Linked DNA regions of Caenorhabditis elegans. The protein of the gene in region 1 purifies or fractionates together with the protein of each later gene. This does not show direct contact. Each region holds a gene or a part of one and is shown on either strand. Other genes may lie near its edges.

Evidence for each region.
Region 2: the proteins of dpy-4 (region 1) and gfi-3 purify together in Caenorhabditis elegans (affinity purification with mass spectrometry, with the first as the bait; one large-scale study listed by BioGRID). This does not show direct contact.

Annotation. Positions count from the first base shown.
Region 1 is NC_003282.8:14,984,839-14,988,553, reverse strand, and holds dpy-4 (Nematode cuticle collagen N-terminal domain-containing protein), read left to right. Parts: upstream 1-1,769; 5' UTR 1,770-1,801; coding exon 1,802-1,882; intron 1,883-1,971; exon of another isoform or gene 1,972-1,993; intron 1,994-2,062; coding exon 2,063-2,799; intron 2,800-2,857; coding exon 2,858-2,909; 3' UTR 2,910-3,011; downstream 3,012-3,715. Other genes in the region: atln-2 (GB1/RHD3-type G domain-containing protein), read right to left, coding at 3,019-3,114.
Region 2 is NC_003284.9:14,478,725-14,485,242, reverse strand, and holds gfi-3 (Protein gfi-3), read right to left. Parts: upstream 4,672-6,518; 5' UTR 4,670-4,671; coding exon 4,559-4,669; intron 4,509-4,558; coding exon 4,408-4,508; intron 4,358-4,407; coding exon 4,235-4,357; intron 4,046-4,234; coding exon 3,856-4,045; intron 3,807-3,855; coding exon 3,715-3,806; intron 3,673-3,714; coding exon 3,576-3,672; intron 3,232-3,575; coding exon 3,053-3,231; intron 2,994-3,052; coding exon 2,877-2,993; intron 2,832-2,876; coding exon 2,689-2,831; intron 2,626-2,688; coding exon 2,562-2,625; intron 2,508-2,561; coding exon 2,376-2,507; intron 2,330-2,375; coding exon 2,219-2,329; intron 2,173-2,218; coding exon 2,058-2,172; intron 1,967-2,057; coding exon 1,722-1,966; intron 1,671-1,721; coding exon 1,430-1,670; intron 1,113-1,429; coding exon 771-1,112; 3' UTR 541-770; downstream 1-540. Other genes in the region: M163.11 (ShKT domain-containing protein), read right to left, coding at 4,987-5,083, 5,134-5,301, 5,346-5,732, 5,792-5,865. UniProt on the Caenorhabditis elegans protein: Probable component of the anaphase promoting complex/cyclosome (APC/C), a cell cycle-regulated E3 ubiquitin ligase that controls progression through mitosis and the G1 phase of the cell cycle.

The DNA.
Region 1 (3,715 bases):
TTTTTCCCCGGAAAATACTCCAAAAGTACATAGCAATGCAACTATAAAATTCGGTGTAGGCGAAGTTGTTTTTGGAGTCTGAAAATTATTATTTCACAATTTATTTTTCTCAAATTTTCAAGTTTCCATTCTTGGGGCACTACTGATTTACAACGAGTTTGTTAATATAAATGACAAAAAAGTGAAAAAAGCTCTTTTTTTTGTTTCAGAAAACCTCAAAATGAAATATTCTCTTATACAAAATGAAATATTCTCTTAAAAATCTCTTTAATTAATAATAATATTGATACAATACTTTATTTTTCTTCAACTGCTCTAATGAGATTAGCGAAACAGTTGATTTTTAGTTGATTAATTTTTTTCAATTTTTTTTTGTGTTCATCATATTTATAAATAATTGCAAACTAATAGTTGTAGAGAGGGAATACTTACCACTTTTCCTGTTCTAATTTAGATTGCTGTCGATAAATTTTCGTTTTTTTTCGTTGTTTTTCATAATAAATTTAAGTTTTTTAAGGCTCCACAAATGTTTTTAAATATTATTGGGCAAAAAACTCGCAACGTTTTTATTTAAACTCTTTTTAATTAATGATAACAATGAAATAGTAACTTTTAATTATATTTTGAAAATTTGAAACTTTTCGACACCAAAATTAATTTCCCAGTTAAGACGACACAATTAATGATAATAACGAAACAGTTGATTCTTTAGTTGATAATTTTTAAAATTTTTTTTCTGTTTCGCCAGTCCTTCATAAATATTTATAATTTTTTTCAACAATTTAATTATCCAATTTTTGCGGAGTTTGAGAATTACTAATTTTTTCGTGAATTACCGTTCTAATCGAGGCTGCTGTCGATACATTTTCGTTTTCAGTATTTTTCAATGTTAATCAAAATTGTGTTCGAAAATTCCTCTGCAAACTATTAATTTACTACATTGTTATAAATTTGAAAAACAAATACCTACATTGGAATATTGTTATTTATACTCCCCTTAATTGATGAAAATTAAGAAACAGTAAATTTTTTTATAGTATTTTAAAATTCTAAAAATTTCAGTGAGTTTGTTTGAAGTTAACAGTACTTTTGTATTACATGCTGTCATTTTTGAATTAAATTGAATGCTCATTCAATTCTCCATTTAATTTAAACGTGATGTACAATTTTTTGCACCAGGCTTAGAAATTATCATTTCCTAATCCTATGCTACACGTTTTTATTTTTTATTTGATTTTTTTAACTTAAAACATTACTTTTAAAATGAGATTAATACATCCAGTAAACTAATTTGTCAGCTAAGACGACACAATTAATGATTATAATGAAACAGTGTATTTTTCAAACAATTTGGTAAGTTTTGAAAACGAATATTTTTTTAAATTCTATCCAATAAATGATAGTAATGAAACAGTACATTTTTTAAAACATTACTTAAATTTTTTTTAAACGCTTTCTACATAAATACCCTAAATAACCAAAACATTCCCATTAATAGGTAAATCATGAACACATTCATCTTTTTTCTCTCCTCAGTGTTAGCGATACAAAAATGATTGTTTCACGGAGATAAGAAACTTTTGCGGGGGAAGAGGAGGGCAACGCCTGGGCGCAAATACCTGTTCCGTTCTCCTCCACCCTGAACTTTCTAAGGCATACCCCCCCTGCATAGGAGAAATAGTGTCCGATTAATAGAGATATGGGCGCTGGGACTGGCTAAGCAGCCGGCTCACCGCACTCGCTATAAAATGGCGAAATGCGTCGAAATCATCGGTCTGTTCACAGCTTCCAAAGCCTAATAATGGACATCGATTCGAAGATTAAGGCTTACCGCTTCGTCGGATATGCCGCCGTCTGCTTCTCAGCAATGGCTGTTCTTTCGGTAAGAAAAGTTTTTATTTTTTAATTTTTTTTTCTAAAAAAATTACTGTTTCAAAATAAACCTAAATTCCTAGTTGATTATTTTTGATATTCTGCGATTGTTAGTTTTGCAAAAAAGAATACCAATATAGTGCCGGCTGCTAGTTTTTCAATTTTTTTTGTTGAAATTTTACTATTTCAGGTCTGCATCACCCTCCCAATGGTGTACAACTATGTGCAACACGTGCGCACCCAGATGCACCAGGAGCTCTACGCCTGCAAGGGATCCGCCAAGGACGTGTGGAACTCTGTCTACTCCATCCGCGAGCTCCCATTGAGCGCCAACCGTACCGCCCGTTCTACCTACAACGAGCAATGCGCCGGCTGCTGCTTGCCAGGACCACAAGGACCACAGGGAACCCCAGGAAAGCCTGGAAAGCCAGGAAAGCCAGGAGCTCCAGGACAACCAGGAACTCCAGGACGTCCACCACAGCAACCATGTGAGCCAACCACCCCACCACCATGCCAGCCATGCCCACAAGGACCACCCGGACCACCAGGACAGCCAGGAATTCCAGGAGACAACGGACCACCAGGAGAGCAAGGACCAAAGGGACCAGACGCCGCACCAGGAGAGCCAGGACCAAAGGGACCGATTGGACCACCAGGACCACCAGGACAAGCCGGAGCCCCAGGAGAGCCAGGATCACCAGCCAAGTCTGAGCCAGCCGTTCCAGGACCACCAGGACCACCAGGACAGGCCGGACAACAAGGACCACCAGGACCACCAGGATCCAACGGAATCGATGGAGCTCCAGGAGCACCAGGAGCCAAGGGAGAACCAGGAACTCCAGGAGAGCCAGGAAAGGATGGAGAGCCAGGAAAGCCAGGAACTCCAGGACAAGACGGAACTCCAGGAGAGAAGGGAATCTGTCCAAAGTATGTTGAAACTGAATTCAAGTATTTGAATAGTCGCCTAACTTTTTTACTTTTTCAGGTACTGCGCTTTGGACGGAGGAATCTTCTTCGAGGACGGAACCCGCCGTTAAGTCTTCAAGCCCTCTACCAACTATTTATTTTCGATTTATTTCGAACAAAGTATCATTCCAAAAATTTTCTTGTTACTACCACACATCATACAAAACAGACAAAACTCACTTTTTTATTAGCACACGCAGAATGTCCTAATACAGAGTTCAAGGCGCTCTCGTTTAATCGAAACTTTCCGGGTTGGGTGCTCGATGGTGCGATGATCTGGAAAATTGAATTTTAAAATTTATAGAAACATTAAAGCAGACTTTAAATAGTTTTAAGCGACCGACATCTGCCGGCTTCCCCCTTGCCCACTTCCCATTAGTGGAGTGAAACCCGGCAGATGTCGGACGCTTCGGAAACATTTACAGGTTTATAATTGGCTTTTGAGAAGAAAAATAACGGCCGACATCTTACGGGCTACTCTCACGTTAACAGAAGAACCCACCAGATGTCGGAAGCTCTCTGATTTTCAATTCTCAATTGACAAGGAATTTTTTTCTCTTCAAACGAGTGAATCACTTTCATAGAAAGAAGCACCGAGTATTTACTTAAATTTGGAAACAGTGAAAAAATTGTGATCGAAAATCATGTTTTTCAAATTTCTTAATAAACCGACTTTCCGACTTTCCGACTCCGACAACCGACTTTTCCCGGTAAAATCTTTCTTCGTTTCATATTGTTGCATTTAGTTTTTCAACTTCTACAATGTAAGATCAATTTAAACTCATATATATCAAGCTGGTCAAACAGTAAAAACTTTTTTTTTTCAACTTTCGAATTAAATTCTTAACTTTTAATTTAAAACTTCAGTTTTTGCATT
Region 2 (6,518 bases), on another chromosome or scaffold:
TTGCATTTGTTATAACGGATATGGAAAGTTAGCAAAATTAATCATTATGTACACATATCCTATTTGAGTTGTCATGAGTAACTGGAGTGATGCTTTCAGTTGGCATTGTTTCACTGCAAATACGGAATTTTCACCCAAAATAGGAATTTTGCGGGGGTGGGGTTTTCAGTAGCCGGTTAATTTTTAATTTTTTTACTAATCTTTAAAAAAACGTTTGATTCAATGAGGTCACGCTTTAAAACAACAAATAAGTTTGGCTAGCAATAAATTTACATGAGAACATGTAAAACATCCAATAACAAAGTAATCCTTTCTATTCTTCGTAATTTCCTATAATTAATCACTTTCGATAATGATTCAATTTAATTTAAAAAAAAATAGACATCTCATTGCTATTAAAAAACTTGCACAACACGTTTTTGCTACAGTTGTAAATGTATTTTAGCTACCAGAAATATGTTTTCTGACATTTGGTAAGAAGCATTCAAACTGCACAAATGGTATCTGCAATAAAATAAAATCAAAAAAATTGCAATAAAACATTCCTTTTCAATTTTTTTTCCAATTTTTCAAAAGCAATTTTTTTACAAAAAGTTCATAAATTCAAAATCAAATAGAGCAAGAAAGACTCGTAAAAATACACTGTGAAGCTCATAAACCTGTTTGAGTTTTGAAACAAGATCGTTGAATGTAAGAACAGACGGGGGTCTTTGGGATTGGATAATGAAGCACTTTAAAAGTGTGTACAAGAATATTGGTTTGAAACATCATCAGATGAGGAGCCATTCGCATCGGCCGGGACAATCAGCAGTCAGTTTACCAAATTGCTCACAAATCTGCGACAGACGATTTTCATCAGGCATCAGTCCTTTGACGTCATGAAGAGCAGCAATTTCGGAGAGGACGAGCTTGGTAAACGCCGGCCATTGCCCGTTGCGGACCAGGGCACGGGATTTTTTCAACCACATCCGCGGATCTTTCCCTAGCAATCGATGACATCTGGCCGCTGTCATGTAGTAGCACGCCTTCTCGGTAAATGATCCAAACTGTTCAATGCCTTCATTGCATTCTTTCAAAAGTTTCAGACATTCGACATACTGACCATGGCACATCTGTAAATTTAGATTCTAAAAATTGTTTTTCATTTGATAAATGCGATGTTCTCAGAAAACGTTTATTTTATCTAACTAGTAAGCGAGTATAGTCTGACATATCTGGTGACATCTATAAAAAATACAATACCTTATGTTTTCAAACATCTCACTTCAAACAATTTTTAAGGCTGAATAAAAAATAATTTTCGGAGTGCAGCGCAAAATTTACGGATTCAAAACCCTAACGACAGTGCTCCACTTTGTAGATTCTTCAGTGAAATATCAAGATGGCGTAAAAAAATTCATGCAATTTTTTCTTTACATAAAATGCTTACCAGCATAGTTGCTTGTCTTCTCTTGACCATTGGCACAATGTCCTTCAGTGTGGTGTTCTCAGCAAGACTCAAGGCGTCTGCAAATTCTCTTGCAGCTTTTCTAAATTCTTGACTAGCCGTGTAAATGCATCCTGTTTGCATGTGAATTCGAATTCTTCCACGAATGTCCACAACGTTCAATCCCTCCAACACTTCAACACTTGCCCGTTCTTTTCCGGCTGCGGCGAGGAGAAGAGCTTGTCTAAAAAAATTATAGAAATTAAATGAGGTAATACTTTCAATTGCAACTCACCGAAGCTTGCATTCTAGTTCAGAGTGTGCTGCGAGATTCAAAACTTCAGAAGCACAAGCCTTGTAGTCATTTTTCAATAAGAATCTTTCAAAGTTGATGACAGCTGCACAAATGACAACGTGACGGTTGGACTGCCAAGAAAGTTCTTCCGGATAATTTTGTCGCATTTCCTCAATAGTTCTTAGTGCCGCGTCGTAGTTTCCGACTCCAGCTTGTGAATAAGATAGGTTTACCGCACCAATTGCCTGAAAATTGATACATCATACTTGAATTTCATTAGATACATATAAATTTTGCACCAATTTATTATTTGTCACAGTTCTAACTTGTACTTACCCAAGGTTCGGCCTGAAAAGGAGCCTGGAAGGGGTCTGTTTCATCGGTTCTGCAATTGTTTGCCAGCATGTTTTCTGCGGCGCACTTTGCTTGATGATACATTCCATTATGAATCCTGAAATTCAGAATGGTTTCTAGGCCATTTGCAACGAGCTACTTACATGTTACTAGATATCAGAGCAGCTCCATAAGCAGCCACTTTTCGTCCTCGTTCTCCAAGATCATTACCGACTGGACACGTTATTCCGGTTTCCGCAACTCTGTCGTAGATCCTGTAAATTTGGAAAGTTAAAGCGACGTCTCTGATTGAATGCTCACAGCTTATAGTTTCCTTCTGCAATGATCTTCATCAACATGAGCATTTTTCCATATGAGTCCATCTCTGCGACAAGCTCAAAATCTTCTTCAGAACTTAGACAGCAAGGCCCGGATCGCGTATGTCCGTGAAGACTGAAATGTACTAATTAGTTTTATGACTCTATACTAGTAGATAATCCAACTTACTCGTCTATGTGCAGCAAGGCTTTTCTCTGAACTCGCCGTTCATTTTCAATGTGCTTAGCGGTTTCTGCAAATTTGATTTGTTGTTGTCTTAGTTCTTATTGATTCAAAAAATAATAGACGAGCTCACTTTCATTGTTATCCTCAAGCAGCGCCCTGCATCCCAATATGTCGACAGTGTGCATTTCGATGTTGGCCATTTGATGGCAAATCTCATCATTTCGGAGCTGGGCTTGTTGGAGACTCTCGTGGAGCAGGAGACGAGCCATTTGGCTGGAAAATGAGAATATTTATGTACTCTTTATTGATATATCTTACTAGTCTCCAAATATTCTGCAAATTCTGGCTTGAAGAATCGGTGCATACATCAACGGGGTTTGAGTTGGAACTGCCAATCGATGCGTTTTTGCGGCATGCACCATGTTCTCATTTAGTCTGAAAATTATTTTTTTTGTTCTTAAACCTCGGTGGCGGTATAACGGTATAACACTTACTCAAACATGGACAACTCGAAAAACGATTTCATTGCCTTAATAGCCGACGAGCTATCTTTCAATTGAACTTGCACAATGGCCTCTAGCAGGAACCCTTCAACAACGTCCGGGTGTCGCTTCTGTACGATCCGGGTGTAGTGAAGCATCTCGTTATATTGGAAGGCAAAACGTGGGTTCTTCTGTAAAAACATGGAAACATTATTACTTTTCTTTTGTCAGTTTCAAACAGAGCTCCCAGCTGAGTGAGGCGCAAAATCCGGGCCTCACGCCGTCGCCGCGCGCCGCTGTGTGTGTGAAATGAAGTTCGAGAGGTAGTCATTCAAAGCGGCCGACACGTTCGGGGTTCCGCAGCTCAGCGTGAAATGAGTAGCATGGTGTGTGCGCAACGTAGTGTGAAAAGGTGGTGGGCTGGAAGCGGCCGACACGTTCGGAGGTCTGCGCTTCACTGTACATGCGGCGAGGGTGACGACGTGAGGCTGGCTCGGCGACCGCATGGGAGTTTTAGTTTCAAATAGTATCTCACCTGAATGAAGTAAATGCTCTTAGCAACCCAATCCCTTGCTCTGACAGAACAGTCGATGAAGTGTGGAAGATACTCTCCCTTGAACTCGGGATGATATCTGCAAAAGTTTCGGTATTTTTAGCAAAGCTTCGTCACTTACTTTGATTCAACAGCAGACAAAACCCATGATTTCATGGCTGCATTTATCTGGAACACTTCTGAAGGAGTTGACTTGGTGTATTGTGCCAGGAGCTGAAATATAATCAAACTGAAACAAATTTTTTCGATTGAAAAATCATACTCGTTTCATCCATCTGTACATAAACGAGTGATTGGAAGAAAACTGGATAATGTCTCCGCGCGCCAAGTCCATAGCTTCATGTACAGTGTCATTTGCTGGCAATTTCGGATCCTTTGGGTGCTTGTTGGTGTAGAACTCATCTTCAACGTTAAGAGTAACATCCGCCATTCCGGCGCCAATTTTCTCCATACTGAAAGAATGGAGAGATGCCAGCGGATTGTTTTGTATTATTGATTATGCTTATAATGCTCCAGAAAATCGAGCTAAGAAACATTATTGCATTTAATTTATTGTCGAATTGTTTGACTAGTTTTTATAATAGTTTACAATAAATTATAATGTTTTTTTAATTGTATAAAATGAAAATCGTTTGACTTACGCTGCATAAAAGTTTTTACAAACTTCACGGCCGTCATCAAATGCAAGTCGAGTGACAATTCTGAAGTCCTTATAAGAAAGCTCCACGACTGACGTCATCAATGCATACAGCCAATGGAAGATTCTAAAACATGAATTTGGTTTCTTTTTTTAAAATTTTTCCAAACTACTTACCGTTCTTTTTCGGCGGGGCTAAATGGTTTGTAGTAAGCACGTTTGTGACGGAATCCAAAGTGTGTTTGAAAAAGAATGCGAAGAAGGTAGAACGTTGCAATCTTAAGTAAATTTTTAGTACTTTGAAGGTTTTCTAAACTAAAAAACTTACTTTTGTTGGAGTCACTGGCTCTCCTGTCAAATTTGAGAAGACATGGCCGAAAATTGCATCCAAGTTGAGATAACTCCGTTTGATGATGGGCCGCGGCGCCGCTTTCTGCATTTCTGGAAAAAAAATATATAAAAACCTTGTTTTTTAAAGGTAATACTAGAAAATAGACGACTAAAATTCAAAAAAATGAAGAGGGATCGGTGCAGGTCGGTGGCTGCAGGCGCATTATTGGTTTGCTGGCGTGTTTCTCGTGGAGGAGGGGCGGGCGGGAGGACACACCATGTAGCAGAGAAAACTCTCTTATTTTGTGCACTCTCTCATCGGTATGGCCCGTTCTCAAACAACACACAACAGATATTATGAAGACATGGTTTTGATATGCATTCAGTTTACTAGAGACAAACTACAATAAAAGAGGAACGATGAAATTAGCATAATCCGCAAGTTTTAGCACAGTAGAGTTCACGTTGAGCATCTGTGTAGAAGCTGTTAGTGCAGAAGCCGTTGGCCGCCCAAGATGAGCATCTGAAAGTTCAACTTGTTTTAGGCTAGTCAGTAGAATTGATTGATCTTACGATGAAGCTGAATCTGTGCAACTAGATGATGTAGAAGCGGTAGAGCTCGACGAAGAAGAGTCACTGGAAGAAGAGCACAGAGAGCAGGTAGCTGCACAGTACTGAGTTTTGATAGCAGTAGTGTAGAAGGAAGAAGTGCAAAATCCATTAGCAGCCCAGGAAGTACATCTAGAAGGTTTTTATTTTGCAAGTGGCAAATAATCAAGTCTTACGTGGAAAAAGAATCTACACATGTGGTAGTGGTTGAGGAAGATGTAGAAGATACGACAGATGTGGAATCTGAGGATGAAGTGGATGATGAAGAATTGGAAGAGGTTGTTGAAGAATCAGAGGATGTAGTAGAAGAACTGTCAGCTGTTGTTGTGTCTGAAGAAGATGTTGAAGACGCGGAGCTGGAAGATGATGAAGAAGATGAAGAAGAATCATCACTGGACGTTGCAGCTGTGGACGAAGAAGAACTTGTAGAAGCAGTGGACGATGAAGAGCTAGAATCTGAAGAATCAGAGCACAAAGAGCAGGTTGATGCGCAGTATTGGGTTTTCTGAGCGGTAGTGTAGAATGTAGAGGTGCAAAACCCATTGGCAACCCAGTTCGCGCAGCTGGAAGAAAAAAAAATGAAATTTCAAATTTCAAACTGAATAAATAATCTGTAACTTACTTTGAAGCCGAGTCGGAGCACATTTCAGCGCTTGAAACAAAGAAAACAATTGTTAAAACGAAGAAGGTGTTCATGGTAGTGAGAGTTGAAAGTTGAATGTTCTGTGGGCCCTCACTGGCTAACTTTTATCCGATCTGTTTCCTGTTTGAACAACTGTCACAACGTTTTGACCCCTAATAAGCATTGGCACCTAGAGGAGGAACTATTAATGAATACATAGGTCTATAACAAGTTGCGCTCGATCATATGAATCATAAAGTTGCTGATCTTAAAAAGACAAATGAATTTTTATTTCTGAACTATGTTTTAATGAAATCAGCCAATAATAATTATTATTACAGTTAAAATTTTAATCGGTGAAAACTATTTCATTTTCCCATTGATATTACACCAGCAAACCTGCGTCTGCAAATGATGAAGGTCAAACGCCACATGCTACGTTTTCTTGATAACGATATCATTTTTCACTATTTATTTTTTTCAATCATCTTCAAATTTCGCGGCCCGGTTAGCTCAGTCGGTAGAGCACCAGACTCTTAATCTGGTTGTCGCGGGTTCGAGCCCCGCATTGGGCTTATCCTTTTGTAGAATTCGGATATTCTGTTCAAACATCTCGCCTGATAATTTAAACCTTTAAACTTAACTTTCTTAACCCAGCAATATTAATCATATCGTCGATATGAGAAACAACCCAATTTTGTAAATCTGCGGCAAAATTTATGCTTAA